Linked DNA regions of Lepisosteus oculatus. The protein of the gene in region 3 purifies or fractionates together with the protein of the main gene of each other region. This does not show direct contact. Links are inferred from orthologs where the notes say so. Each region holds a gene or a part of one and is shown on either strand. Other genes may lie near its edges.

Evidence for each region.
Region 1: the proteins of derl1 (region 3) and amfrb purify together in Homo sapiens (affinity purification with western blotting; 4 studies listed by BioGRID, with this or other methods). This does not show direct contact. The link is inferred for Lepisosteus oculatus from reciprocal best matches to the Homo sapiens genes DERL1 and AMFR.
Region 2: the proteins of derl1 (region 3) and rnf5 purify together in Homo sapiens (affinity purification with western blotting; 4 studies listed by BioGRID and IntAct, with this or other methods). This does not show direct contact. The link is inferred for Lepisosteus oculatus from reciprocal best matches to the Homo sapiens genes DERL1 and RNF5.
Region 4: the proteins of derl1 (region 3) and tmem129 purify together in Homo sapiens (affinity purification with western blotting; 3 studies listed by BioGRID). This does not show direct contact. The link is inferred for Lepisosteus oculatus from reciprocal best matches to the Homo sapiens genes DERL1 and TMEM129.

The regions. Positions count from the first base shown.
Region 1 is NC_090715.1:3,657,978-3,666,370, forward strand, and holds the start of amfrb (E3 ubiquitin-protein ligase AMFR), read right to left. Parts: upstream 3,206-8,393; 5' UTR 2,824-3,205; coding exon 2,575-2,823; intron 1,728-2,574; coding exon 1,635-1,727; intron 868-1,634; coding exon 703-867; intron 324-702; coding exon 171-323; intron 1-170. Other genes in the region: serine/threonine-protein kinase VRK3, read left to right, coding at 5,806-5,953, 6,671-6,811, 7,215-7,322, 7,586-7,723, 8,168-8,223. UniProt on the Homo sapiens protein: E3 ubiquitin-protein ligase that mediates the polyubiquitination of lysine and cysteine residues on target proteins, such as CD3D, CYP3A4, CFTR, INSIG1, SOAT2/ACAT2 and APOB for proteasomal degradation.
Region 2 is NC_090709.1:39,110,462-39,117,773, forward strand, and holds the start of rnf5 (E3 ubiquitin-protein ligase RNF5), read right to left. Parts: upstream 3,282-7,312; 5' UTR 3,278-3,281; coding exon 3,102-3,277; intron 2,653-3,101; coding exon 2,634-2,652; intron 2,348-2,633; coding exon 2,235-2,347; intron 1,965-2,234; coding exon 1,910-1,964; intron 1,380-1,909; coding exon 1,268-1,379; intron 612-1,267; coding exon 490-611; 3' UTR 1-489. UniProt on the Homo sapiens protein: Membrane-bound E3 ubiquitin-protein ligase that mediates ubiquitination of target proteins. May function together with E2 ubiquitin-conjugating enzymes UBE2D1/UBCH5A and UBE2D2/UBC4.
Region 3 is NC_090705.1:10,758,210-10,765,914, reverse strand, and holds the start of derl1 (derlin-1), read right to left. Parts: upstream 3,322-7,705; 5' UTR 3,121-3,321; coding exon 2,968-3,120; intron 1-2,967. Other genes in the region: tbc1d31 (TBC1 domain family member 31), read left to right, coding at 4,403-4,479, 5,661-5,807, 7,249-7,364, 7,685-7,705. UniProt on the Homo sapiens protein: Functional component of endoplasmic reticulum-associated degradation (ERAD) for misfolded lumenal proteins. Forms homotetramers which encircle a large channel traversing the endoplasmic reticulum (ER) membrane.
Region 4 is NC_090696.1:34,285,001-34,293,134, reverse strand, and holds the start of tmem129 (E3 ubiquitin-protein ligase TM129), read right to left. Parts: upstream 3,375-8,134; 5' UTR 3,341-3,374; coding exon 3,136-3,340; intron 2,426-3,135; coding exon 1,951-2,425; intron 345-1,950; coding exon 185-344; intron 1-184.

The DNA.
Region 1 (8,393 bases), on a different chromosome or scaffold from region 3:
ACAAAGGGTAAAATCCATCATGAAAATACACTTCAAACTCTTATATCTTGTAAGCAAAACTTGTGGGATTATGTGCATTACTTGAAATTTCTTTCAATACAAAATGCCGAGAAAGCTCTATCCTCGAGAGACGATCAATGTTGAGTAATTTAGGAGGAGACTGGTCGTACCTCAGCAGCCATGAAGGCCACAGTGTGCATTCCATGGGACAGCCCCACTAGCCCACAGACAAGAGCCAGCCCACAGCAGGAGATCATCATGGACACCAGCAGGGACAGCACTCGCACGTGGCTGCTCATGGGGGTGGTGGGCGAGAACGACAGCTGGGGAGCACACAGAGCATGAAGAACATGGGGTTCTGTCCCCTCCCGTCCATTTCTAAGACCGTTTCATGTGACCCAGTGACAAAATCACTGTATGCAAGGATTTGGCACGTCTGCAGGATGGTGCAGATTTCCTTCAACAAAAGTTAATAGCCGTACTTTCAGATTGCTTTACACATCCCACCATCTAAACCAGAGGAGCTGCTATAAGGTGACACCAGTCATAAGACATTAAAAATGAGGGTTAAACTAAAGACGGGAAATACACCTCATGGACTTCCAAAAGATCGCTTGTCTAACGAGCTGGCCTTGCGGGGCACAGACTGCATAGCAAATAACAGCACACACCTGACTTTTTGAATGGTCCAGTGCTACTTACATATTCAAACCGATCTTTGCAGAGCTGGACCATGAGATGCAGAAAGACCAGCACTGCAAACCAAAGGCACCACATGACCACTTCTTCCACAGTCTGCACATTCAGCACGCCAAAGATGAAGATAAACTTGTAGAAGATAAAGTTCCAGAACTTGTCCTTCAGGTGCTGCAGAGATTGACGGACAGATGCTAAGGCTCACATCAACAATTTTAACAGCTTTGCTAACACTCGTGCAATCACAGAATGTTGTAAGGTTGCTTCGGTGTTTAGCTGGCATTTCTTTTGGTGTTGGAGCTAAAATGGCACGTGGCTGATAAAGTTAAAAATTATTAGCTATAATAATTCAGTCCATAAAAAAGATTCAACCATTACTTAAATTAATCAGAAGGTTGCATTCAATACATAAACTTCACAGCTAAATAATTAAAAGACTGAGAAAAGTCAGACCAAACCATCACATTCAAGCTCTGTCTGAGAGGCTTCTCAGGGGATTAAAGTTGTTCAGTTACCAAATCTCTAGGCGTTTTGTGAATGATTAACAGAACAGACTTTATTGTCCACATTACCACTTAAATAAACTTGAGAAAACCGAGTTAAGCCTAATGTAACTTATATGTGTATCTCAGCATGAAGACTGACATCATGCAGCCTTTTTACTAAACCGGAATCCTCTTGACAATCTCGTGATGCAATACTGATGCACTCTGCTGTAACTGTGTAAACATGCTGTTGCACACTTATTTACTTAGATGTCTTGAAAACCCACAACATTTTCAAAACAGGAGCATACCTGCGTAACAAAATCACAGAAAAGGTGCCTGCTTAGTTTTGCGCACAATTAAAATTGAATCACTACAGTTTATCATAAGTATGAATTTTAGACCTCTCAATTTTCCAGGTGTGAAAAGGAAAAGAAATCCGATTCTCATTACCTGCCTCTCACTGACTCTCAGGGGGCCGAACACCATGTACTGAATCATTCTGGCAATCATCATCAGGAAGCAACACGCTGTGTTTACCAGGACCTGTGTTGTGGGGGTAAAACAGAGTCACAGGTACAAAAACAATCTACACTGTAATCCATGTGGCATCACCTTACATGTAACCTCTTCAGTAGTTTAGCGTAAAGCAACAAATGTGCTCAGTAAACATACAGCCACTTAGCACGGTTACAGAAACCCACTCAACATCTGTTTGCACAAAATCTGAAGTTAATCCAAGCTCCTGCACGATCGAATTGTTCAGTTGACATGAAGTCATGTTTTTTTTTTTTCTGCAACAAATAAACATTGACTGTTCTCATCAGCTCCCATGCCTGTGGAAACTTGAGCACTGCTGGTATTCCGATTAGTCCTAATTTTAGTTAAATCACTTGGCATTCATGGACTGCACCCTGGAACTTCAGAATATTAAGAATGGCGAGAAGCCAAACGAGTCCAGTCAAACAATTTGGCTTGTTAGGTGTCTATTTCTGTTTTACCGTTTTAAATGCACTTTCACACAGTTTCCATTTGTGCTCTCTGGTTCATGTTGCACTGTTGATACTGAAGATTTCTAAAATTTGAATCAGGCTCCTTGAAGTCTTCTCTGTTCCAAGACAAAAAAGGTCTTACCTAGGCTGATCCCAGAGCAGAAATATATTTTTATAAAGTGGTGACCAAAGCACCTTGAGATACTTTAACTTGAAAGGCAGCAGATAAATAAATAATACTCTCAACAGGAGTACGGGAACCGAACAACGGCATCACAGTTAGAATGACACTGTCAATTTAATTTGAAAATAAGAAATGAACACATGCCACCCCTTTAAAATGAATAACGTAAAACACAATACCCATCTGCATTGGATTCCTGTTTTGTCTACCTACATACCCAAACAAAAAAGCTGTCCGAAACGAGGTACCACAGCACATCTGCAGCGACTCCGTTCCCGACGCCGTCAATCTGGTTCTCGTCCTGACCCGGGCTGGGGTGGGGGTCTCCGGCTTCAGGCAGGCTGTAGCCCGGCTCGGTCACCGTGCTGTAGGCGCTGAGGATGCTCCCAGCCAGCAGGACCGCGCTCAAGCCCGTGTAGGTCCGCAGGCTGGGCCACGGGAACCGCTCCAGGAACAGCAACGGCATCCTGGCGCTCGACCGGCTCCGAGTTCAATAAATACAATCGGTTTCAATACCTTGTTTCACGGACTCGACACCGCGGAGATGCGATCAATAACGGTTTAAATTGGTTCTTTTTATTGAAGTAAAACGTTGTAAAAAAAAAAACCCAGTCAAACTAATTAAGAGTGACAGATTCAGGCCGGACGGACTACATGAGGATAAGCCAGTTCAAAGTTGTTGTCGATATATCGCATTCTGCGACATGGGGGTGTTGTAACCCTGCTAAATCCTGATGATTTTCTCGGATAACTGCAGGCACTTGTGTTGCTTTTGCTAATGAGTAAAAACGGGGCGGTTTTTTCTTACTCTCTGGCCTCGATATTACTAGTGTTTCCAGATGGATCCAGTTACTGCTTCAGCAGCAGACTTGCACAATCCTTCCGTGGCCCTGTTATACAACACAACAGCTTCGACAGGCTGACAGCACAACGGTTTCACAGCTGCTTGAGGACCGCGGCCCCGACGACTAGATGCAGACGTTATTTTAAGATTAAATACACTTTTTTAAGAGTCCATCTGATACGTTTTCCCTCCACTGTGATGCGGGTAAGGTTTAGTTGACTTGGCACCGGCCAGGGTCGAACAAACTATGTCAGCGACCTCCGTACTTTTTTACAAATTCGGTCTCCTCCACTCTTTTCTCTACTCGTCCTCTCAGTAGATGCAAAACGAGTCTGGCAGTGTTTATTTTTATTCCACAGTCCGTCTCCAGTTTCTAATTCTCGGAGTTTCCATCTGAGCTCCTCTTTTCCGGTTTGCGTCAGCGTCACTCAAGCCCTCCTTCCGGTTGTGCTGCCATAGAGTCGCTAATTCGTGACAGATTAGTCAATAGAAACTAAAAAAAAAACATTTCCAAATACTCTCTTAGAATTTAATGGATAATCCATTGTTGTGATCGATATTTTAGGTTACAATAACAATTAATTTTAACTATTCTTAAGTTTGGAAATGCTCATCCAATAAAGTTCTTACATTAATCCTACTAATTTACCACAAAAAAGAAAGAGGAGAATTAAGGAATAATGAATATGGGGAATTATGGGAATGATGAGTTCCGCAACACACAGTTCTATAATGTAAGACTTATCTTTTTTTTTTACTTTTTGAATTTCAAAATCACTCGCATCACTTCCGTGAGCGCAGGGGATAAGGGTTTGTGTCCCCTTATTTCAGAATATTTTTTATATATGTCGCCAGAGTCTTACTTTTCATAGATTTTCTATGCAAATTCTTATTTTCATAGATCTCCTATGCAAAATGCTCGGTTTTGAAACTGGTGTCGGCTAGTGGCGAAGAGCAGACGGCCCTGAACCATTTCGTAAGAAAGGCTGTGGCAGCTTGGATCACTCTGGGAGTAAATATTTTAAGAGAGACTTGAAAGCAGAACTGCCTGGCTGGAGAAAAACCGAGATTAGAAGCTGGTGCCATTCATTCTCCCCAGAGACATGATGAGCTCTGATGTTGTCTTTCAGACCTGTTTCCCCTCTCCTCCCAAAGGCAAGCAGGAGAGTTTTCATAGGTTAAGACAAAAAAAAAACATTCCTTCAGGACCTGACACTGTTCCAACTGTTCCAATAGTCCAACGAATACAGCATAGACTGTTGTATCTCTGTCATTACATAGCTTTTTGTATTAATCATTATTTCAACAGAAAGTCAAATTGTCAGAAAGTTACCAAATCCAGGTGAGGGACAGCTGGTCTCTGGGACTAGGCTGACTTTAAATTGACGTGGACTGACCAGTGTCTGACACACGGACTTTTCCTTTGGGGCATTTGGTCCTGGAACTGTTCTGAGAGGAAGTACCTCTGGTGGATAAGTAGTGTCATAGGTCCTGTGTAGATTGAGAAACTGTAATAAAAAGGTGTAATTATGTTGGATAAGTGTTTTGTCTGTGGGGACACTGGTGATTCATTAATAAAAGGAACCTATTGTGAGAGAAAAGGGTCCTAAGATCCTGAGAATGACTAAGCTAGAGGTGGCTTAGTCGGCTACAAAACAAAAGCAGTGTCTGCAATTAGGGGTTACCGTCTGTCACAAAAATTTCACTAACTATAAAATATTAATTGAACGTCACGCTTGCGAATCGCAGCACGTCTCGTTTTCAACGCCTTCGCTACGTCGGGACGCGCAAACCATTTTGGCCCAGGCGGCGCCCCGTCCTGTGACGTACAGCGGTGTTATTGTCACGTGACGCCGAGGCGGCCCAGTTCCTGAGGGGCTGGAGCTGGTCGTGCAACATGGTTAACTGATAAGTCCTTCAAGTAGGAGTGTTGACGGTTGTGTTTGGCGAGGGAAAGTTATATCGGTTTTTGTGGATTCGCTGGACCTTGAGGTACAATCTGCCCTCTTTTCGGTGACTGTGCAGCCTGTTTTGCACAGTAAAACTCACTTGAGTGGCGGTGCAATTGAGTTCTGCTGCTTCCGAGGTGTTAATACTTGTCTTAATCAGGGCGAGCCAGCGCCTCTCAGTCCTGCAGTGACATACCAGTGTTTCATATGCGATTGTTGTACGTCTTGTTAAATACAAACATGTATTTCATTTTAACAGACAAGAAGTGGTCAATCTTTGTAGGGACCTGTGCAATGAATATTAATTGTCGATCACGCTGAGCTTATGACAATGTGAGACATACTGAATAAGTTAAAACAAATTAAATACGTCTCGCAACCCGGGGTTTTGTATTAAGGAACACGTTAAGCAATCATCGGTTTCATGAAAACGTCAGTTAAATCGATAAACTGTTTTATATAACCCCCCCAGAAGCAATCGTCTGTAAGTGTTTATATTTAAGGGCCAAACTAAACGTGTAAAAAAGTGCTTTGAGTTGAGTGTCCAGAAAAGCGCTATAGACGTGTAAGGAATAATTATTAGAACCATGAAGGAAGTTCAGTCATCACAGTTAGCAGAACTTCAGCCTGCACCTTTCCTCCTCTTTCTAGCACCATGATCCTTCACTACTGCCCTCAGTGCGGCTCCAAGCTGCAGGCGGGCTTCAAGTTCTGTCCGTCCTGCGGACAGAAGCTGCCCACTGAGGACCCTGAAGAGGCTGCAGCCTCAGCGATCTCACAGGTGACCACCAGCGACCCCCCAGGTACGGGACGTCAGCGTGCGCCTTGCTGAAAGAGACAGACACCGCTCGGAGAAGCGGCTTGTGCTTGGATGTCTCCGTGCTTTTGATTTGAGTTACACGGGGCGGGGGGGAGGTTGGCTTTTGAATGACTGTGGAATGGTTACCATTCCATCTCGGAGTAAATAGGTTTCCATCAAAAAAGAGCAAGTAGACGTGTCTGTGGTGTCTTTTAAGAATTACACAGAGCAATTTACCTAAATCTCGATAGAGACTCATTATATACTGTAGATATATAGTTTAATAAGTTTCTAACCAATGCATTTCCAACATTTCATTCCTGTTCACTAATTGTGAAAATAGCACTCCAGTAAAGATGAACCCACTTACTCTTAGTTACTTTTCATCCTTCACTTCTGAAGGTAATTATGCTACTCTTGAGTAACTCACGGTGTTAAAGTAAAATGTCACGAAGGCTATTAGTGAAAATTGGTGGGCCAATATTGTAGTTTACTGTGTGTTTCAAGCGTTGTGCTTTTATTGCACTTTCTCTTTGCTTTCCAAGTCTTCACATGGTTTGAGTCTTGACTCATTAAACATCACTGTGCTCTGTTCTTTCTGACTTCCCTCACTGCCCTGCTCCTTCCCATACTCCTGTGCATGTTTAATTAGACATCCTGCAGGGTACAAGGGCAAGGGCAGCTGTTTCAAAACCCTGACGTGTGTTTCGTTCCTCTGCAGGTCAGAGCAGCCCCGCTCACGCCCCATCGCTCACTCCACCTCGCCGAACACGGCTGACGGCCGCCAAGGTCAAGGTGGAAGAGGAGGTCAGCTCCAGGACAGCTGCCTCCCTATCGAAATCCCCCAAGAGCCTCCCTGGAGGTAAGCAGGGTGGCCAGCCAGAAGCAGCAGTGAGTTGTGACACTGGGCGGTAATAATATAATAATAATTGCTTACACTTCTATAGCGCTTTTCTGGACACCCCACTCAAAGTGCTTTACAGGTAATGGGGATCTCCTCCACCCCCACCAGTGTGCAGCATCCACTTGGATGATGTGACGGCAGCCATAGTGCCCCAGAACGCTCACCACACATCAGCTATAAGTGGGGAGGAGAGCAGAGTAATGAAGCCAATTCATAGATAGGTAACGCAGTGGTGCACAGCTGCATGTACAGCATTCCTTGTCTTTCCCTTTGCTGAATGTGTTGTGCGTCTAGACATGGGCACGTTCAAGCACAGCAGCCATTTGGCTCACGGCCCTGACGCGTGGTCTCTGTTGTGTAGCTAGCCGTGCCCCGCTGTCACCGCGCAAACGCCAGGCGTCCCCAAGAGTCAAGCAGGAAGAGGAGAGCACCGCTGAGGCCTCACCCTCTCCTAAATCCCCCCTTGGGGGTAAGTGGACACTTCGGCTGTGGAAAAGGGGGGGGGGAGCTTCAGCCACAATGCTGGCACGCGCTGCAGATAGAGAAGGCCTTTCAGAGGCTCCAGTACAACTGATTTGGGAAATAACCCTGCTGGCCTTCCTGCATCTCCGCTGTGCAGACCACGCCAACGTGGGACCGAACAGGGAACGAGAGGAAGACGGGGCAATCGAATGTCAGAACGCAGATTTTGCAGAGTTCCCAGTGTTTCATCGTTCTTTCCCTAATCCTCAGCCAAAAGCACGCCCAAGAGAGCGCGGAGGATGTGCATCGAGCCCCTCCAGGAGAGCGAGCTGCTGACGGACACCGCGGGCAGGAAGTGGAGGCTCACCAAGCTGCTTCGCCAGAGCGACTCGGAGCTTTTGTACGGAGGTGAGCGAGGCCGGAGCAGTGCAGGACATGACCTTTGTGCTCTTTCAGCTGACTTATTCATAATATACAGTACCAGTCCTTTACTGCCCCGCTGATCGTCAGTGTTGTCCTTGTGTCACTCTGAATAGTGCGAGATGCCAGTTTATAATGATATGTGAAGTAAAAGCTCAATTTGTTTTATACGTGTTGCTGTATGAATATAGTCATTTTAGACCTTGTTAAGCAGGGTTTGCTCATTTTCTAGCCTGAAGTTTAAATGGTATTTGAACTGTTGGAAATGAAAAATAAATCTCTGCTGTGGAATCCTTGTCCTTAGTCGCTCTCGCCCGACATACACTGTGCAAATAGAAACATGTTGATTTGATACAGGAAACTGTTGAACTTTGAATCATCCCTCTGTTTACCTCTTTAAAATAAAACTTCTGTTCCTTAACCTCTTTTCAGTTCAACAGATTACCACTGGAGCCCCCACAGCTGACTACAAATACACCCTCAAACTAGTAAGTACCCATTTCAGATGAGACATGGCAGAGTCTTGCAGTGAGAGACTGTTTAATGTACGCAGCCCTTTTCAAGAGCAGTGACTCTTAATTTCACTTCTACAGTATGTCTAGGGGTTATGTGAGCACTGTTTCTCACTGGGTATAGTTCTTGTAAGACCAGAATGACG
Region 2 (7,312 bases), on a different chromosome or scaffold from region 3:
TGCCCCGTGCCCGCAGGAACATCGCCCCAGGGGTGTGAGGGGACGCCCCAAAAGCCCCGCGAGCAGAGGGGGGGGGGTTAGTTAAGACAGACGATGAAGTCCTTAAGATACGAGTCAATGAAGATAAGAGCCAGGCTGACCCCCGACCCCCGACCCCCGACCCCGAAGAGACCCGAAGGGTTAAAACTATTTCGATTGACAACAAACAAACAAGCACAGGAAATAAGAGAAGGCCCCCCAGCACCCCGGCCCCCCGCATCGAGGGGGAGGGGGATTCTGGGACAGGCCGGGGGGGGGGGCGGTACCGAGACCGAGTTCCGGTTCTGGAGCGGCGCGGACGCAGAGCCCACACGCACAAGCGCGTCACCGCGCGCGGCGGGCGTGTTAATACAAGAGGGGTCAGGGGTCGAGACACGCCAGGGGAGGGGGGGGCGCCCCCCCGCAGGACGACACCTCGCCCGCCCCCCCGGCCCCCCCGGCCCCCCGCCCTCAGATGCTCAGCAGCCAGAAGAAGAAGAAGATGGCGACGAAGAGGAACAGGGAGTCCTGCCAGCTGTTGCCGTTGCCGGGGTTACCGTTGTCCGGGTAACCGCCGCCTGGGTGGGGAGTATCTGGGGGCGAGGAAGAGAACCCCCAAATCAGAACAGATTCCAGCTGGAGAGTCGCTATATAACCTCATGATACTGAGAGCACAACACACACACACTCCTGTACAGACACACACACTCCTGTAGAGACACACACACACACTCCTGTACAGACACACACACTCCTGTAGAGACACACACACACACTCCTGTACAGACTCTTACTGGACACACTGTAGAGACACACACACTCCTGTAGACTCTTATTGGACACACTGTATAGACACACACACACTCCTGTAGACTCTTACTGGACACACTGTATAGACACACACACTCCTGTACAGACTCTTACTGGACACACTGTATAGACACACACACACACTCCTGTACAGACTCTTATTGGACACACTGTATAGACACACACACACACTCCTGTACAGACTCTTATTGGACACACTGTATAGACACACACACACTCCTGTAGACTCTTACTGGACACACTGTATAGACACACACACTCCTGTACAGACTCTTACTGGACACACTGTATAGACACACACACACACTCCTGTACAGACTCTTATTGGACACACTGTATAGACACACACACACTCCTGTAGACTCTTACTGGACACACTGTATAGACACACACACACTCCTGTAGAGACACACTGTACCTGCGCGGTGAAACGGGTCATTGGTGTTGAAGACTGTAGTGAAGAAACCAAAGGGAAACGCACCAATACCGAAGGACATGTGGAACCCAGTGTCACCGAAACCCTGGAAGGGCTGAGAGAGAGAGAGGGGTTCATACACTCCAGTACATGAACACTGCACTGAGAGAGAGAGGGGTTCATACAGACACACTGACTGGACACTCCAGTACATGAACACTGCACTGAGAGAGAGAGAGGGGTTCATACAGACACACTGACTGGACACTCCAGTACATGAACACTGCACTGAGAGAGAGAGGGGTTCATACAGACACACTGACTGGACACTCCAGTACATGAACACTGCACTGAGAGAGAGAGGGGTTCATACAGACACACTGACTGGACACTCCAGTACATGAACACTGCACTGAGAGAGAGAGGGGTTCATACACACACACTGACTGGACACTCCAGTACATGAACACTGCACTGAGAGAGAGAGGGGTTCATACACACACCCTGACTGGACACTCCAGTACATGAACACTGCACTGAGAGAGAGAGGGGTTCATACAGACACACTGACTGGACACTCCAGTACATGAACACTGCACTGAGAGAGAGAGGGGTTCATACAGACACCCTGACTCAGTGACTCACCCCTCTGCTCTCCGGCTCTGGTCTCTGTCCCTGAGGTCGAGGAGGAGTTTTCAATCTATAAAAACACCAAGAAAGAGTTAATTCATGAAGCTGAGCAAAGATACCAACAACTGGAAAACAGGAAACCTCCTGAGTCTTTCAGAAGACCGGGTTTCGCAGTGCTCTGTGGTCCGACTGTTACCACTAGACAACGGGTCAGATGTAAAACCTGGAAAGGAAGGGACTGCTGTGCAGCTGGAGTCTATGAGCACTAAAAACCTGCCCCACTTCACTCAGACAGACACTGGCGCACAGTGGACACACAACGGACAGGACAGGACAGTACCGTGGGTCATCCTGACTTGAGCTCCCTCTTCCATACAGAGGAATAACGTTCTCCCGGCTGATCCCGGCCTTACACACTGGACACTGCTGTCTGCTGGGGCGGGTCTCCAACCACTGAGAGAGAGAGGGGTTAATACACTCCAGGACATGAACACTGACCTGAGAGAGAGAGAGACTGACTGGACACTCCAGGACATGAACACTGACCTGAGAGAGAGGGGTTCACACACACACACTGACTGGACACTCCAGGACATGAACACTGCACTGAGAGAGAGAGGGGTTCATACAGACACACTGACTGGACACTCCAGTACATGAACACTGTACTGGGAGAGAGACAAACTGACTGAAAGTTACATTAAACATACACCAAGGAAGAAATTAAAAAAACACTTACTTGGTGTAGACATGGCCAGCTGTTTCATGAAAGAAAGCAAAGAGATTTGCATTTAATTTCAGAAAGGTTACAAACAAGAAGTCACTATGCACATTAGACCCGTTTGGTGGGTCAGTAGCTAATTGATCAGAGGAATTCATCCAGCTGTTCCACTCCCCCACCCCCCTCTGTGTACAGAAGAGCCTCCTGTCCTGACTGGAGGAGCTCACCCAGCTGTGTCTGGAGAGAAGCCAGGGTATCGGCTTCAACCACAGGGCTGGGCAGCCTGTTCCCCACCCCCACCCCCCTCTGTGTACAGAAGAGCCTCCTGTCCTGACTGGAGGAGCTCACCCAGCTGTGTCTGGAGAGAAGCCAGGGTATCGGCTTCAACCACAGGGCTTGGCAGCCTGTTCCCCACCCCCACCCCCCTCTGTGTACACACACACACAGACAGTGTCGCTGCCTCTGAGCCCCGACCCCAGCTCGCACCAGAACAGATGTCCGCACAGGCTGATCACCGCGTCCCTGGCCGTGTCCAGGCAGATGTTACACTCGAAGGTGGCCCGGTCGCGCTCCGTGTCCCGGCCCAGCCCGCCTCCCGTCCCGCCCCGGTCGCCGTCCTCGGCCGGACCGCTGTCCGCCGTGCGCCTGGGCTCCGCCGCCATGTTTGTTTACCTGCCTGGCTCGCTCGCTCGCTCGCTCGCCTCCGGTCTCTTCCGGTTTCCGCCGGTGACACGCCGGGCCCGTAATTCACCGAGTAGAGGCGCCTCCCGGCTTGGCGTCGAGCATGAATGGGTCGCGATTCTTTCAGAAATGCGTTTATCCTGCGCTCTGTTTTTATCATATTCAGGTTCCCCACACTTGTGCTGTGCTTTAACCCTGCTCTCACTGGGCTGTACTGCGCTGTACTGTGTTTTTACCCTGCTCTCACTGGGCTGTACTGCGCTGTACTGTTTTTACCCTGCTCTCACTGGACTGTACTGCACTGTACTGTGTTTTTACCCCGTTCTTACTGTGCTTTACTGCACTGTACTGTGTTTTTACCCTGAGCTCACTGGGCTGTACTGCGCTGTACTGTGTTTTTACCCTGATCTCACTGGGCTGTACTGCGCTGTACTGTGTTTTTACCCTGCTCTCACTGGGCTGTACTGCACTGTACTGTGTTTTTACCCTGCTCTCACTGGACTGTACTGCACTGTACTGTGTTTTTACCCCGTTCTAACTGTGCTTTACTGCACTGTACTGTGTTTTTACCCTGATCTCACTGGGCTGTATTGCACTGTACTGTGTTTTTACCGTGATCTCACTGGGCTGTACTGCACTATACTGTGTTTTTACCCTGTTCTTACTGTGCTTTACTGCACTGTACTGTGTTTTTACCCTGTTCTTACTGGGCTTTACTGCGCTGTACTGTGCTTTTAACCCTGATCTCGCTGGGCTTTACTGCACTGTACTGTGTTTTTACCCTGATCCTACTGGGCTGTACTGCGCTGTACTGTGTTTTTTTGCCGTGAGAGAAGGAGAAACGTTGTCAGGTTTGTCAGAAACAAAAGACCCCAGTTCATCAAAGTGTATCAAACTCCTACACGTGATTGGAGCTATCTGTCTATTTAAATTAAATCCATATTCATGAATAATGTGTCTGTATCATGAATTTAATTAAACAGACGTTCATCCCGACATTTGTGTGCAACTTTTCTTCTATACAGGACGAGACGACACTGCTCTAGCGTGTATGAAGTGACTCGGTTTTCCAGCGTCTTTGGAAAGAAGTGTTAAGTAGACGGAGCTAAGACGATCTTTCTTTGCGCTGAAATGTGGAAACGAGGTTTTAACAGTGTACGGTAGCCCACCAGCGAGCATCCTTCCCTCCGACATCGGATCTGGATGTTCATTGGACAATCCTGCCGCCACTCAAACCTGAGCCCCTTTCGCTGGGACATGATTGGACGAGCTGCCGGAGAACCGCCTCTCTTTCTAAAGGCGATTGGGTAGACGTCACGCCACTCAATTCGGCCTCGCCGCCTCAAACGGGGGGCAGGTGGGCGGGGCGCCGGGGTGGGGGAGGGGCGGTATCGCCCGACCTGCCCCGGCGATTGGACGCCGCGGATGTCCGTCACTCTGCAGCTCTGCCGCTGGACAGCTGGGTAAGTAATGGCGAGAACGGAGGCCGCGAGCACGGTCGCTTCGCCCCGACAGGCCCAGGTGACAAAACTACATTTCCCAGCAGGCTTTTGGCCTCTCCCCCCTCTCGGGTCCGTCGCTTTGGCCAGGTGCTGGAGCCTATCCCAGCGGGCAACGGGCGCAAGGCAGGACAACACCCTGGACGGGACACAAGTCCGTCACTGAACACACACACACACACACCAGGGTCATTTCTTCAGAGAAGCGACCGGACCGCGGGAGCAATCCCACGCGAGCGCGGGGAGAACATGCAGGCTCCACACAGACAGCGCCCCCGGGGGTTGGACCCGGGACCAGCGCGCCGGTGTGCGCCGCCGAGGTCCCGCTCCACCCGTCCAGAATCCCCCGGGCCTGGGCCGGGCTGGGCTGGGCCGGACTCGCTCTGGTCGGACCCTGTTTCCAGCTCCGCGCCCGATTATACGTGCCTATTTCCTCGCTCGATACGTCGGTGTCCATCGCTGTCCGGCACACGCGTGTCCTGCGAGTCAGATTCACCCCCCCCCCCGACCAGGCGTCCGTGCGACCCCCCCGGGAGACGCGCATTCAAAGAGTCCACACGTACACGTCTCCGCTCTGTTCCCGTCCCGCTGACTCCCGCTGACTCAGCGGGACGGGAACAGAGCGGAGACGTGTACGTGTGGACTCCCGCTCGGCAACAGCTGAAGAAACAGAAATGTTCTCTTGTGGCGCCCTTCCTGCACGAGGTCCCTTTTTGTGGGAGGAATTTGAAGCGGCCGGGATGTAGGGCGGATTCCCACTGGATGAGCGAGGAAGACACTCGCAGACACGCTGGCCTGGAGACGACCCCTACACGTGTGTGTGAGACTGTGTGTGTGTGAGAGAATGTGTGAGAGAGAGTGAGAGTGTGAAAGAGAGTGTGTGTTTGTGTGAGAGTGTGAGATTGTGTGTGGGTGTGAGAGTGTGTGTGAGAGAATGAGAGTGTGTAAGTGTGTTTGTGTGAGAGTGTGAGGTTGTGTGTGGGTGTGCGAGTGTGTAAGTGTGTTTGTGTGAGAGTGTGAGGTTGTGTGTGGGTGTGAGAGTGTGTGTGGGAGTGTGTAAGTGTGTTTGTGTGAGAGTGTGAGGTTGTGTGTGGGTGTGAGTGTGTGTGTGAGAGTGTGTGTGAAAGTGTGAGGTTGTGTGTGGGTGTGAGAGTGTGTGTGAGAGTGTGAGATTGTGTGTGGGTGTGAGAGTGTGTGTGAGAGTGTGAGAGTGTGTAAGTGTGTTTGTGTGAGAGTGTGAGGTTGTGTGTGGGTGTGAGAGTGTGTGTGAGAGTGTTTGTGTGAGAGTGTGAGGTTGTGTGTGGGTGTGAGTGTGTGTGTGAGAGTGTGTGTGAAAGTGTGAGGTTGTGTGTGGGTGTGAGAGTGTGTGTGAGAGAATGAGAGTGTGTAAGTGTGTTTGTGTGAGAGTGTGAGGTTGTGTGTGGGTGTGAGAGTGTGTGTGAGAGAATGAGAGTGTGTAAGTGTGTTTGTGTGAGAGTGTGTGAGTGTGTGTGTCTATATACTGTATCTATGAACAGCGGCGGTTGTTTTCAGTAACAGGGTGTCTGACCACCGGGCTGATTCTGAACAAGCTGCTCAGTGCGACCCGATAGCCTTGTAACAACAACAACAACAACAACAACAATAATAATAATAATAATAATAACAACGACGACGACGATGACGATGATGATGATGATGATGATGATGTTTATTAATTGTATGGGGGTTATTATACATTTGATATTTTCTCTCCCTCCCTCCTTCTCTCTCTCTCTCCACCAATTCCGTTGGGTTTGTTTTTCCGAAATGTGACAAAAAGGCCGGTTGTGCGCATTTCGGACCCGGCCGGTCTCAGTCACAACCGGCACCTTCCGGCCCGGTCCGGCCATGTCCGGTCCGGTCCCGTCCCCCCCGGCGCCTCGCAGCCTCCGCAGCTGCATAGCAACAGTAACCAAGGACCCGGTGTCTCGGTGAAGCGAGAGAGAGAGAGGGAGAGAGAGAGAATTGAATTGAGAGAGAGGAGAGAGAGAGAGAGAATTGTATTGAGAAAGAGAGAGAGGAAGAGAGAGAGAGAGAGAGAGAGAGGAAGAGAGAGAGAGAGAGATGGCCTCTTTCATCGCCGCCCCGCGGCTCTCCTGTCGTGCGATCTGCCCCCCGTCTCCCTGCGTGCTCGTGTCGCTCCTGGGGGGCCTGAGTGTCCTGTAATCGCCATGCTGCCGGACTGACCCCGCCGACCGGCGACACGGGAGCGAGCGGCACCGAGCGGTACCGGTACCGCCCGGCGCAGCCCCGCCGCGAACGGGTCCCTCCTCCTCCTCCTCCCGCCGGCGACACGGAACGGACTCGATCCGCCGCCGCCGCTGTTGTTGTTGTTGTTGATCTCCGCGGTCGATGTTTCTGCGTCCAGGGAAGACAAGACACAGACAAGGCAAGACAAGACAAGAGCAGACACAGCGCGCCGTTCCCACCCGTTTTCCGGGTGTCCGTGTGCGTGTGCGTGGATCTATTGACGGGGCTCCGGCTGGACGGCCGGCG
Region 3 (7,705 bases):
ATCACATGTAGCATGCTTAGTGGAGGAAAAGTTTGCCTTGTAGTCTAAACTTGTCTTTGCAAGATCCATCTTTCACAGCACTTTCACAGTTTCTTCACGATTATGGTTACTCTAAACAGCAATACAAAACATGGGAGGAGGAAAGGGAGCTGAAAATCAGTTTTGTGATAAACACTACATCTTCAATATTTAACCATTTTCACTTGTAATCTTTCGACATTAATATGACCATAAAATGAAAACATGATAATGGCTTCAGTATTAGGTTTTTCAGAATGTTTTTGATTAAGTTACACAAAACAATCAATCATTCTAAACCTAAAGGCTGTTGGCATCAAAAGGAATGCAAGTATTTGGACTGAGCTGGTAGATGGATAGAAAACAGGATACAGATTAAATAAATGCTCTTATTGCTCTGTGTTAGTGGAGTACCACGAGGATCTACATTAGGTCCATTGCTTCTCCTAACATAATATCAATGATACAGATAACATCAAAGCTAGTTAGCAATGGTAGAATCGACACAAAAAAAAATCAAAAACACTGCAGAAAAGCAGAGTGTCTAGTTTAAGATGTGAAATGCTAATCTCGAAGAAGATTGAAGGTTACGTTGGCATCATTTTCTTCCACCAAGCAATGTATGGAAAAAATAAAACAGGCAAACAATATTATTAGCTATACATGTACAGTAGTACATAGACAGGTAAAAGAGACAAGTAAGGTGTAATTCCACACGGAAAAGTAGAAAGTTTCAGGTGTGAGGTTCCTTTAGGTTCTTCACACCTGAACAAGGCACTACAGCTGAAATATTGGGTTTCTTCTTTCTACTGTTCAGTGTGGAATTAACCTTTACTTGTTCCTTTGCAGCTGCCCACTCAAACATACATAAAGAAAAGCATAAAATATCAACCAATGAATATGAGTTAGGGGGACTCCATTTAAAACATTTGGGTCAGCACAAAAGAAATATTGCTGCCAAAGAACAGTGATCAAGTAGGTTCTTGGATTTGAGGGGACCCGATTCAAACATGCAAAAGATTCAAAGGCACTGACAAAGTCAACCTAATGGACTGCTTCAGAATAAACTGCGATACATGAACCACAGCGCACGTGAAGTGCATTTTAAACAATTAACCCCTTTTACACAATGTCAAAAAGTCTTACATCTTTTAAATATTTTCCTGACCATACACTAAGCTCCATGCAGTCATCACCAAGAAGTATAGGTATGTATGTCTTGCATCACAGCTTATACAGCATCTGTTTTAACAGCACCACCTTGTGGGCATTTAATGTTATGACACATACCTTATAATTGTAAGCAGGGTTACAGTTAAGTAATAAAGAGTTAAGATCTCTTTATTAGTCATATACAATTTCTTGTATTAGGAATTTATCTTTTCACATACCCCAGCTTGCTCTCCATGAGAACAACAGGCGAACAGACAAGGAGAGAGAAGCTTGGGGTCAGAGCGCAGAGTCAGCCACTTATACAGCACCCCTGGAGCACCTGGGGTTAAGGGCCTTGCTCAGGTGCCCAACGGAGTAGGATTCCTCTGCCGGCCGTGGGATTTGAACCAGCAACCTTCCAGTCACAGGCGCAGATCCTTACCCACAGGGCCACCACTCCACCCGGTAAGTTCTCTCCAAATTAAACTGCACTTTTTCCATGCTGACTCAATGATTCATCTAAAACTCTTTCAGAAATCAAGTAGAAAAGTCAGTTGATATTCCAATGCTAAATTGAAAGTAATTTTCATTTTACTATAAACTAACATACAGTATGTTTAACTCTGGGTAGACTGATGGTTAGCACGTTCCATAAAATTCATACATTATCTTTTAAAACAAGAAAACCACTGTGTCCTTCACATGTTTCCCTGAATTAACTGACCTTGTATAAGTGTTCAAAACGCACTATACTTCAGAGAGTGTACACAGGCCTATCTACCAAGTATTCATTTAATTGTTTTTTTTTAAGTTTCCACTAGGAAGAAAAGTAAGCAACCATGACTTGCACATTATCCGTGATGTATTTTACATTAGTACTACAGCAGTATTACTAATTTGACAAAGACTATATTGTAACAGAAAACCCTAATGCACCAAGCTGCACTAACCAGATCATTACAAATGATAAATGCAATCCTATTATTATCAATCACAAGTAAAGAAAGGTTGTGATTGATGATAATGGGACTATATTTATAACATCAACAGCAGTTTACACTTGTCTAATTACGATTATTCTCATCTCGTAATGGGAAAGTATACCATTAGCAGATTGCTATTAAATCGTATTTTTTTTCTTTAATAAAATACAGACGTTTTATTCTAGTATTTCTTTCATATCCTACTCCTCCACACTTGAAATGTAAATGAATAACAAGAAAAAAACGATGCCCGGATCATAGTATCCCAACACAAATCCTTCTCAATGTCTGGGGGTTAGTTTGCGATCACAAAGCGTCACGGTTTCCCGGAAGTCCGACCGCCGCTGCGTCACCATTGGAGACCGGGGAACTGACGCGCACGCGAGTGGACAGCTTGCTTGTCAATCGAGGGGACGTACACTCGTCAGGCCTAGCTCGCCAATAAAGCCCTGTTCGGCATTGTTTTGGTTCTTTAACTCCGCCGTATTTCGATAATATATTTAAAAATGCCCATAACGACCGCATTCTTGTAAAAAACAAACAACATGCATATCGGCAGGTTACAAACGGCGAGAAACGCCAGTCTGTCAAGGTAGTAAATGACTCCCTGAAATGAATTCCTTGAACTCTGAAAATAAATAACAGACACAGAAAGGCAGTAAAAATCACCACGCTTTGCAGTAAAGAGAAAACTAAAACGTCAAACGTTGTTTAATAATGATGTCATATGTAGAAAAATAAATTTATTTTGCATTTCTAGGATTAACCGACGCGTAACGGGGTTTCAATTGAGCAGAGTCAGATCTTGTCTTACCTGAAATTTGTTAATAAAATATTCCGGCCACAAAACGAGGTACACGGGACTAATGAGTCCCAGTTTTCCTATTAGGGGTACTATGATTGACCCAGCAAACCAGTATCTGGTGATGAACGGGATACTCTTAAACCAGTCCCCGATATCTGACATTTTCAAGAAAATTATGCATACAACAGTCCGAATGAAGTCCAAATCCAAGCCAAAATATCTCCCACAAAACCCTCTTCGTTGTCCGCGACGCACAGTAATGTCTTTTTGGACTCAACGTTTCGTTTCGCTATCTTCAAGTTTCCCTGACGTGGCTGCTCAGGAGTAGTTTGTCAAAGGGCGACACTTCCTGTGTCTTAATTATACAAGCATGACCGCAAGGGGGCGGTAGGCCCCACCGACCTCCAGCCGAGTCTGACTTCTCCGAACGGGTGGCAAGTCAATCACAGAGGATCTGTCATTAGTTTGCTGTTGTTTTTATCTTTGAATCTTTTTGAAAGGCCGTTTTAATTTTTCTGTTTTCCTGTTTGCAAGGTTACGCGAACAACACGGTGCCGGTTCACCAACCGGGGAGATCACTTGTTGAAATGTTAACAGCCAATACAATGAGTAGTTTTGGAAAAGATTCCTGACAGCTAATCGCCCGCTGATATTAAAAATAAGCATTGGTTGTGAGTTTAATTTAATTTAATACTTCTTTACATATTTGACATTGCCTTCTTAAAAATATTTTTGTCGCATAAATCGGCACTTGTAATCTTATGTTTTAACCGTAATAAGTCAATTATAAAGCACTGAATCATCGCGCTACGGGGGAATGATTCCGTGGTTAGTTAGCAGCTCCTTACTGATCAGACGTGTCCGTTACAATAAGCTGTACAATTTGTCAAACTAAACCCGAAGCAATATATTTGAAAGGACATTAAGTCTGTTTTAAAAAAAGTTTATCTCAGGTTTCCCCATGTGTAATATTTGCCACACACTCAGGTTTGTTTTAGGATTTAGGATTTGTTTAATATTAAAAAGCACACATTTACAAAGTATGAATTACCTGCTCGCAACAGCAGGAAATGCTTTTAAACTACAATACCCACCAGCCACCTCTCTCTGTTTACCTGTTCGTCACTTCCTATTGTAATGGCAACCAAACTGGCATTACTTGCAAACTTGCAAACTGCTTTACAGCTTTAACAGACGTTTCGGAAAGTTTTTGTTAACTCGGTTTTAGAAATTATGCAAACTTGTACTTGTGTATAGCCACCAAATATATACATTAGGAATTTATTAATCATTGCACCGCGAATGTATCTAAGAATCGTTTTAAATTTCGCGGTACTGTAACCGCCGGGTTCACAACGGTGAGTACAAGAAGGCGCAGTGGCAATACTCCGTTGGGAGAAAAAACTATAACTGAGTTTTATGTGGTTGTCCTCCAGGTAACAAAATGCAGACGACGGATATAGGCACCAAAGAATGTGGGAAAATCTGGTACCGAAAGCCAACGCCTTCACCAAGTGATGGGTTAGTATCGTTTATCTCAGACAGGAATTTACAGGTGGTCAAATAAACGGATTTATAAAATCCTTCAGGCGTGTGTTTTGCAATGTGATTTATGTATTGTCAGACATATTTTTAGTTCGATAATTCCAGGAGGCTGGATTGAGCAAAGTTTATCATCGCGCTGTAAAGATTTCTAATTGGCATTAGCATTTGCCTGATGATATTGTAGATCAATATTGCGTATGTCCATTTTAATCCTGTTAACTCGCGTGTTCTACAAGAGGAATTAATGCGTATGTATACCCATACAACATGATCTGTTTAAGTAAGACGATTGTTAGCGTAAAGTGCAGTGTGAGTGAACATGAAACAGTTTACTTACGTATATGAAGCAGACAATTGTTTGTATTGGATCATTGCGGAAACGTGTATGCGAATAAAGTATTCGAAATAGTTATGCCAGAGAAGACAACGCCAACAACTCACAAAAAAGTAAAAAGAAGTCTCCACATGCATACTTCCGACTTCAAGACTGTCGGAAAGTGTATACTTTAACTTGATGGATAGTACTTCATGTAGTGACAATTCATTTATTCAGTTTGAGTGTTATCCCGTAGGGAAATGTATTTCTTAACAGTGGTGCCACCGCTTGGTGTGCAGTAATAACTGCACGTCTTTTGCCATTTCTGCGTTCAGTGAGCTATCATTCATTCCAGTGACGTAATATACACTTATTAGGGTGATCTAAATAAATGCTCTTTGGGTGCCCGTTATTGTACCATTGTGTGGTGAAAAGTCACGAAGATATCCATGTGTTAAATCAAAGGGTTTGTCATCTATGTGAGATGCAAATGGAACACTAAATTGAACTTGAAGTGACGAAAGTGCCCAGGGTGAATTCTTTTACAAAGGCATCTCGCACAGATGACACCCTACCGAGATAAACGAGTATGTATATTAGTGATCTTCAGATTCAGATTCTAATCTGTTTAAATGTGTTTGAGTCTTCATTGATCAATTCAATCCATGCTGTAACGGGACAAGGGAAGGGTGTGTGTTTAAAAAAAAGACTGCAAAGAGCTGATTTTTTGTATTAGCTTCATGAGGCCTCTGTACGAGTGTAGACAATGTCTGGGCTCATTTGCTGACGATAAAGTAGCGCCTTAAAATGGGTAATAAGAGATCCTAATTTTCCTTTACAGGGTCCTTATCAGAGTGATTCGCAGTGCAGCAGGATACCATTCCAAGACTGTTCGTTTTCTGCAGGCTGCCTTCGACACAACAGGGGAAGCGTTTTTAGCGGGAGACCACCATGGAAATACCTATGTCTTTGATATCAGCAGAAACAGGTACATTATCATGACGTATCTGTGATGTGTGAGATACCTAAAGGATTGGGCTGTTCACAGCTACCTGACCTCAGGCTTTTTAATTGGAGCTCCTGGCATCAGGACTCTTTTAGTTTTTCATGCTGTTTCTCAGTCGTGTCTGATTTGAACCACTCTGGAGTACCTGTAAATTTAAAAAGATCTTTGTAAGGGGCCATTACAGTGCAATGTGATGACCATCATCAGATGTGATAGAATGATGGTTGCTCATAAAAGTTGCCTGTATGCTAGCTAACCCAGGCAGCACTGCCCAGCGCCCTGAGTGCCAATAGGATACAGTCGGGAGCAGCTGCCTGGGCTCTCTCTGCCTTCAGCTGTGAGGACTGCCATGTGCTTGCAGATTTGTCACGAAAATCATCAAGAAACAAGCACTCATCCAGTTGGCATTAACCTGGATAGAGGCATTTGATAAAGGAATAAATAACTAGAATATCACAACCTTTTTGAAGAGTTCCAAGCAACTCCATACCCTGTTGCTTTGATAATGTCAGTGAACTCTTTAAGGAAAATAAGTGGAAGCTATAATGATACCTAGCAAGTTGGGAAGTCACTGGACAAACAGTTTTAGAAGGAGAATTTTGGTGAGCAGGTGATGGCCTGTTTTGGAAAATGTGAATTGTGTTGTCACTAGATGTTTACCTGCCAAGTTGAGAATTGACTGGCGAAAACATTTCATGCTCAGGAGCATTTTGCATTGCAGGATGCTATTGATAACGGAGCAAAGGTTCAGGCGGCCTTCCTGGTTTATACAGAAGTCTTGGTCTGCCGTATCGTGATTGCATTGTCAATATAATGGAAAAGATAGAGGTTAAATTCACTCTAAAAAAGGAGAAAAAAGAAACGCAATATTTCAGGTGTTGAGTGTTCTTCAGGTGTACAACCTTCTCCTCTCTCTCCTTCCTCTCAAAAGCCAAAACATTGTTTCTTCTTTTCAATAAAGAATTAACCTTTACTTTCACCAATGTATGCTGACACAGCTCCCCACTCGAACTTTGTCACTATATGATATCTACCCAGTTTAGAGTTAAATGTGCAAATAGTTCTTGAAGCAGAGCAGCTAGTGTTACAGGCGATGACCTGGTGTGGGCATTTAAAGTCACTGAAGCCTGTAAGACATTTGTGAAGCAAGAGGTGCTTGAAAACCTGGATATGATTAAACCTTTTTAAAGTTACAGAGGAACAGTAGGTTGCTGAGTACATGGGTTAGGCCATCAAGTTCTTATCCCCTTCATAACCATTGATTTCTTTATTTTTTGCAAATTTCTTTGCGTTGTAAAATTTCATTCCGGCATTTCCTGTGCCAGCAAGTAAATCAGATTTCTAATTATTATTTTTTATCCTTGATGTGTTTCCTAGCTGTGTTCTGCAGTCGCACTTCTGGTGGTCTCTCGTCCTGTCCTAGGTTCAGGCTTGTTCAGAAGACTGGGCAGGCTTGTACTGCTTTGGCCTTTAACCTACGCCGAAAGACAGAGTACTTGGTGGCTTTGGCCGACTACTCCATCAAGTGCTTTGATACAGGTACACACGTCCATGGCACTAAGCTGAGAATTCCCTGCGCTATTAGGTAATTGGCTAGTTATAAGATCAGAGAACTGCTTTGTCACAGTTTCAGTATCCAGGTTTTTTGCTTTCCAGATTGCTAACCGCAGACTAAAATGTTGAAGGATCATATTTTTGGTGCACTGATTTAGGGTATGTAGACTTACATAGTCCCATTCATAACAAAGAGAAGGTTCTTTATATTTCCTATGTTGTGTCCCAGGCACTGCATTGACAAAGTGCTTTCCTACAGCTTGTAAACTCCCTGTAAGTTCAGACTGTGTTTTTGCCTTCGTCAGACTCCAAGGAGCTGGTGAGCT
Region 4 (8,134 bases), on a different chromosome or scaffold from region 3:
CTCGTGGAACATTTTCTGCACTGTGTGGTACTAATAAAACAGTATTACACACTGTCTTGAAATATCACAGGTGTAATACAAAGAACAACAAATTTAAGATGATTAAAGAAAAAAAACAACCAGAGCTTTCAATTGACCAGGCAAAATAAAAAGCCAGCAGAGTCTGTGCCCTGCAGCGTCTTACCTGGTTACTGGGAAGCGAGTAGCTCTCGTTCACTTCCACGTGGGATTTAAATGTCTCCAGAAAGAGGTCACTGAGGGTCTGGTGGATCACAACATTGGCTGCATTACGAATAGGAGCGTGAAGCTTTTCCCTCAACTCACCGTACTCCGCAGAATTCAACCTGGAAAATTAAATCAATTACTAAAAATATGAAATACAAACATTGCTCTTCAAGTTAGAATGAAATCACGATTTGAACTCTTTCCCCAGCTGGGACTGTCAGTTCTATATGTCTATTCATGTCCTTGAAAGCCACAATCCTGCACATGTTGCGGGGATCTCGAAATAATCAATGGTTCGTGGAAAAGTACATTTCCGCTCTTTCAACAAATAATATAAACTGCTGAAGCAGAAACAGCCATTTCAATTTTATCCCTCTAAAATTCCAATAAAAAAGAATTGCTCCAAGATCTAGAAAAAACAAAACAAATGTAGAAGCTTTTCACAAATAACCAGTACAAATGTCTAAGTTAAAGCAGGAGTTTCAACTTCCTCTCCGATTGAAATACTTAAATGTATCCATGGATGTCCGCTGTGTCCTTGGAATCTGGCAGGGTCTATACAAATACTAATACTCTATCAAATAGATTATCTTATTAAATACATTTAACAAGATCTCAAAGAGCTGTACAATAAAAAGTATAAACAAAAGAAGGGGACCTATTGCATATAAACACAATTGACAGTGCAGGTTATAATTAAGCTATTTTGCTCCTTGCTGATCTATCTCTATCTAGTCTGTCTTTGCTATCCTTGGGGGAGAGAAGCAAAGTGCTACTTTCTCTCTCTCCCCCACACCTGAAGAAGGCTGGACAGCCGAAAACACTGCGGTTCTTTTCTTTTCCTTTCAGCATGGAATGAACCTTCACCTGTTGCTACGCAGCCTACGCATGCTGACGCAGCTACGTACTCGATAGTGTATTTGACTATATTTACTTTTCACCATGGAATTAACCTGTATTTGTCCCCTTCTGCCCACACACTGACACCACTCCTTTTCTGAGCCAGTGCTCATGTCAGGCCTCATTAAGCAGATGACTACAAAGTACGCTCTGCACTTTTTGTCTTGGATGTTTCCAAAAGAAAACACCATATTTAACAGGTTGAATTAAAACTGGAGACTGTGCTGCACTGCAAGTGTTCTAGTCCGTCACGGAATGACCCAACTGGAATAAAACCCTCAAGTTCAAATAGAACCCAATTTTCCTTCAGCCCTGGTGTCCAATTTTTTATGCCCTTCACTAGAATTAAAGAGCACTGGTGTTTTTGAACCTTTCGGCTGCGTGTTAATTGGTCTGGACTTGCTTATTATAAAGATCCCGTTATGACATAACCAAAGGGTTGTCAGACAACCCCCTTGCTAAAATGCAGTTTTTTAGGTTTAGCAGCATTTAAGTAAATGATGTAGATTCTAAACAAGACATCCTTGAAAACATCATGAAAGATCAGACACCGAATCACAAAGAATACTTTTACAGAGACTATAAATCTGTGTAACAGTACATCATGTGAGTCAGAACTTTTTATTCTTACACTCCCACGTTTGCGAAATACCCTGACTCTATGTGGCCTGTCTCTATGTACTAGATAACTAGATCAGTGGCTGTTTAAAACCTCATCTAAGATCTAAGTTTTTTCCTTTACTTTAAATACATAGCCTTTACTAAATTAAAGTAAATTCTTAATACTTCTTCATGAAAGGCCCTATATAGAGACTAGACTGTCACCTGATATCAAAGGGCTTCACACGGGGATTCACACTAGCCACAGAGATGGTGAGCATCTGCACTGGTGTGTTGGAGTCTGGGGACAGCTCGTGTTGCTTGGAGTCAGTGACTGTCAGGTGGATGTCTTGTTGTAGGGCAATGTGGACGCGATAGGTTGTGACCTTCATCACCCAGGTGTCAGTGACGATCACCCTGGCTCCCGGATCGCCGGTCGCAAACTTGTCTATGCGGCGGAACTCCGTGTTGATAGAGGACGCCACAGCCCTCCAGCTGGACTGAGGCAGGGCGTGGGCGGCCAGAGTCTTGGATATTGGGTGTTTGCCCCACCGATTTCTTGACCAGTAAAACACGAGCATGCCGCTTATCACCGGCAGGGATACTGCGGCGGCGAAGTAGATCCTCCACTCATCGCTCGCCTGGTGAATTCGCCACAGATTCTTGTCCGCCGCTGCCAAGCACATTCCTAAGTAATAACCTGGGGGGGAAAATAGTGTATGACTTCACGTCCATGTTTTCCTATTAATTGTATTGAATAAATATTAAATATTTATATTTAAAGCAAAACTACGTGGCCATTATAAAACAACGTTCGGAGATGACACATTTCAGTGGAGAGGGATTCATTTTAAGCGCTTTCACTATTAAATATGGATGAATTGCAGAGTGCCAGCGCTTTCACCTGATGAAACTCGGAAAGAAGTATGTTCTGCGCCAGGGCCTCAACCCGGTACGAGCTCAGTTAAGAGAGACGGTTTTCCCTACACACTACCTATTCTGGAGCGGTATGCTCTGATGCAAACATATGGGACGTTTCAGTTTCAGATTTAAGAAGTCGTGTTTCACGGCTTTCTCAGTATTCAGAGATGCGATTTAGTTTTTGATAACATTTTCAGAACTGTTTCCGAGTCTTGTTTCATTCTGGTAGAAGCTAATGCGTAAATTACAGTGCGTAGATTTAAAGTGATACAATTAAATAAAAACCTCGAAAAACTAACAGACAAGATGAGGTAATTAAAATGGAGATTATTTTTCCTTATAAGCTCATTCTTTGATCTTTCATTTCGTAGCAAATACAATTTTTCTCTGTTTCTCAACTGTCTAGTTAAAACTTAAACAAATAAAAAGCCAACTAAGGTTTCCAATTTGTGATGTTTTTCTATTAGCAAATATCCAAATTTGACTTACCAAGTGGCAACACGGAATGAACTAGGATTGTAACACTAGTTCTCCTAATGTGATATTGAACGAACCCTAGATCTTCGCTCCCAAGCCAACCCGAAAAAATGTTTTGTACTGTTACTCCCGCCGATCGGAATTCATTTGGAGTTAAGACAAAGCAAACTACAAACACAACATATGCCAAACTAAATGTAACTTCAGGATGCTCCATGTTTACAAGAAGCCACTACATACACCACTGCCACAGACTTCCTGTGTCAGCAGGGAATTGTGGGATTTGTAGTTCTCAGTTGTATAATTTGTGTAAAGCTTAAGAGGATTTAGACGAATTACTAGAGTAGACTTAACAGTAATTAAAAATAAAATCTTTTAAGTACACGTTCTGGACTTACGTGTTTAATACGTCTTTCATGTATGTTATTCGGTCGATGTAATGCTAGCAGCCATATCACCCTGCAACTCACAACAGGTAACCTAGTGTGAATCTGGCCAGTGGCTGCATGGGAGACATCCTGGGAAAAAACGAAGTTGCTGCTGGAAGAGGCATTAGAAAGGCCAGTAGGGGGGCGCTCATCCAGCACTCGGTGTGGGTTCTAGTGCCCCAATATAGTGATCAGGACACTACACTGTAAAAAAGGTGGTGAATGAGATGTAAACATTTCAGGGTGTTTCTTGCAAATAGTGAAATTGCTTTTCACTGATAGACCTGATTTTAAAGTTAATTTTAGAGGATGAAAAAATATATTATTGAGTGTCTTCTAGATAGAGCAACATATTTTTGCACTTTTTTAGGAGCACAATGACTGCTGGAAGAACAGGTATGCCTGTATGATACAATCTGCACATTGTGGGCTGCAGATAATTCATGTCAAATGTCACTCACCTGTAAGAATGATGTTGAACATTTATTTTTCTTTTAAGTTTTTTCAGTATTTCATTTTCATTCTTCTTCTTCTTCTTATTATTATTATTAATAATTGCTTACACTTATATAGCACTTTTCTGGACACTTCACTCAAAGCGCTTTATAGGTAATGGGGACTCCCCTCTACCACCACCAATGTAATATCTTTTTACAGTTTCACCTACCTGTAGGACTGTAGATTGCAATATTCTTGTATGAATCTTCTTTATATATAAAATGAGGAGTTGAAAAGTGAAGTGGTAATTTAATTTTCTCTGCACATTTCACAGAAATCAAGGAACTATTCCCAGATAACAGCATAAAGCATGTAGAAAGTGTCCCCATGTGTCGCTTTAAGTATGTGTCACGGACGTCCAAAGGGACTAACCGTGGGGAGCAGGAGAGCAGAAAAAGACCCATATGCGTAGCGGCGAGACGGGAAAAAGGCCCGGGCTCATTAGTGCAAAGAGTTCAGGAATGCCGTATAGAAACCTATGCCCTCAGGGAGCGGACGTGGGGCGCCCTGGTGCTAGGCGGGTCTCAGGACATCCAAACGTCAATGCTGAGCGAGGACAGAGTGCAAGACCCGGAAATATATAGCCCAAGGGAAAGAGAGGGACAGGAAGGACAGCAGACCGGAAACTAGGGACAGGTCAGAGAAGGAGCGCCCTCTGGCTGCAGAGGGCGTGACAGTATGTACATTTTGGACTGTGGATGAGTGGCACAGAACACAAACAGATATCTTATAGAGGTGGTTATGAGGAGTGGTCATTGTCCTCATCCTACCAGCTAAGGGGAAGTGCTAAAAAAAAGCCAGTATGTTATGAAAACCAGCCCTCAAGATGATAATTTCCAGTTCTATTCAAGATGTCTCTAGTGTGATGATGCTGTGCCTTAGTGTTCCCATGTGATAATTGCATGTTGGTGCTGTGCTAATGAGATGTGATGATGCTGTGCATTAGTGAGCCATCCATTTTCTAACCACTTCTTCCATTGCAGGGTTGCAGGGGAACCAAGAGCCAGTACGTCTTTGGACTGGTGGCATACACTGGAGCACCCGGAGGAAACCCATGCATATATGGAGGGAACTCCATACTGATAGCTACCCAGGTCTGGAATTGAACCCAGGGCTCCAGAGCTACAAGGCAGGAATAGTAAACCACTGCACCACCAAGCCATGCATTTTAGCAGTCTACTAAATGTTAATGGTATATGACTGCTGTTTTAAGGGTGTGATGGTGTGCTTACAACGTGGTAACCATATGTTGTGTTGTTTGCAGTCGAGAAGCGCAGGAACTCAAATCACTCAAGGAGAAGTCTAAAGGTGAGTACTGGGCAGAACCTCCCTTACCTCAGTGCATGGAGAATGGTGTACACGTTGTATTGAGATTCCTTTAATAAATGTTCCAGTTTATTTACAAGACAACCATTCCTACATGGAAACCTGTGGAATATCAAATAAACAGTTGATATCCCAACAATCTCTCAAATCTAGACTGGAGAACAAAGTATGGTCCTGGAAAAGTCCACATTGAGGAAATCCAAAAGCCAGTGCTACTGGGAACTGCTTACATATTTCAGCCTGCTCATTCTTTGTTTCCAAAGGTTCCATGTAAACATGAATCAAAATGGTAACACTGTAACAACAACAAAAATGTTGCTAATGGTGTTATGCTCATATCTTCAGGATAATGCTCAGACCTCTGATTGTGTATGTGTTATTTTATTATCTGTATTTTTGCCTGTATCTGTTTCTCACAACAATCTTGATCATGTTCATGTTGGTTTACTGCTGCTGACATCTCTCTTTCCCTCAGCTGTTTCTTATATAATGAGTTCATAAACTTCACTAAAGGATTCATTATGGGCCTGGACCGCTTATTCTAGAACCAGCCCCAGTCCAGCAAAGATTGAAAATCTTGATCCGACTTTATTCAATGGATATTTTGTATGTTGATAAAGTACTGTAATTGGCCGATCCCACAGCCTTCAGGGTCAGACCTGAACTGTCTTAACTCTAGTAGACAACACAAGTAATGCCAGTAAAGTCAGGTCTGTAAGCGTTTCTATTTCTCTCCTCTGTGGACTCTCCCACTGGCTCTTTCTCAGTCTATCAGGACAAGCTTTATCTCTATGTTGTGGCCAGCTGGTCAGTTCTGGTTTACACCCTTCACAACCTTCCTGGGAAAGGCGCTGATCTACTTCCTGTTTCTGTTGATGCTTGCTACTGTCCTGTTGGTTGATTTCAAGCAGTCAATCTGCTTGAACAGCCCTCCTGCAAGGGGGAAAAAGGAGCTGGTCCTATACTTCTATCTTTTTATCCTAGTCTTTGAGGAGATACAACAGGGATTGGGGGTTTGGTTATTATAATTTTAAAATTATATTCCGAATAATACCTTCCCAGATGCGTTAGTTGATCATTTTGTTGATCACCTGTCTGATATTTGTCAGAGTAGACCACAAACACAACAGGGTGGATAAGTAATTGAAACACAAAATGGTCACAGAACTCCAAGAATACCTTCTGATTATACTTTAAGTGCTATTGATTATCTTTAGATTCTATTTAGAATCTAATTTCTGAGAAGCTCTTTCTTCTCAAAAAGTAAGCCACCTATTCTCTTTCCTAGGGTTACTAAAGTATTGTGGAAGACTCATTCCACACAGCAAGCACTCTTAAGACATTAAATGAACATTTCAGTGGTTACAAACTTGGAAATGGACAGAGGCTTGTAATACTATGTTTCACAAATGTAAGGAATCCTTGCTAAATTCAGAGGTCTTTTGACCCACCCTTACCTCTCCAAATGGTATATGATGCCTCTCCTTATGTTGTAAGAACAGAGGTATCGCACATTATGCCTTCAGGAGAAGAGAGACCCATTGCTTTTGCATCATGAACCTTGTACCCAGTGTACCCAAGAGAAACCATGCCCAGATTAAACGTGATGCACTGGAAATTCCACTGGTTCATGTTTGGACAGAAGTTCACACTTCTCACTGGTTAGTGCCGCCTGAGGTCAATATCTGGAGTTCACATACAGTATGCATTCCCTCCATGGCTGCGAGCGGCATGCGACATTTCTCCGCATGCACCTATGAAAGAAAGTATACAAAATCAGCTCTGCAGAGAAATGCTGAAGATATGTCAAGATTGCCTTTACCAGTCACCCATTCCGAGGCGGTGCAGAAAGACATCTTTCCTGTGGGTAACACACCTACCTCAGTTAACCAGGATGAATTCCTAAGCGAATCCTTTGGATGAATAATCATTTAAAGGTATCTTCAATTAGTGAAAAAGCATGTAATAAAGCCAATAATAATATCGTATAACATGTAATTGGATCTTCAGGACCAGGTTATAAGGACTAAATCTTGAGGAACAGAGATGAAGGGTTTGGATCCCCGGTGTTAGAGGTACAACCGAGGAATGGGCACCCCTGGGGTTGGAATAAAACCTGTACTAGACTGAAGGCATCGATGCACTTTCCTCCGAACCAGTATAATAGATTTGCTATAAAATGTCAGTAAAAATAAACTATTTTTCTTTTAGAATAATTTCTATTATCTAACTAAAATTAGTAACTCAGGAATTCAGTGAATTATGTATTATAATTTATCCAAACCCTCCATCTCTGTTTATTATATACTGTATTATGGAAGAATCAATAAATTGAAACCAAATGTTAATTATATCATTTCATGGAGTACTTTATTTCCATAATATCTTAATACATATTTTATGCATTTTTACATAAATACCATTTAATAGATTCAAGTAAACAAGAGTATATATTATATGGTTATATATATTATATATATGTCATTGAAAAGAAATCTTACACATACACAATAACAGTGCAAGATCATGTTTTAGGAAAAACATGTATCATCCCATGTAATTTCAATAGCCTATGTACAAAGTAACATGGTGCTAAGTATTTCACAGTTGTAATGTATTAATTCAACATCCACGTTATATTGTATATATATCCATGCTTCTGTGAATTTTATTCTCTTCTTACATGTTAGTTATCGAGGGTGAAAACCAACTCGCTTAATGTGCACTTTTAATTCAGAAACAAAGCCCACTACTGAGCC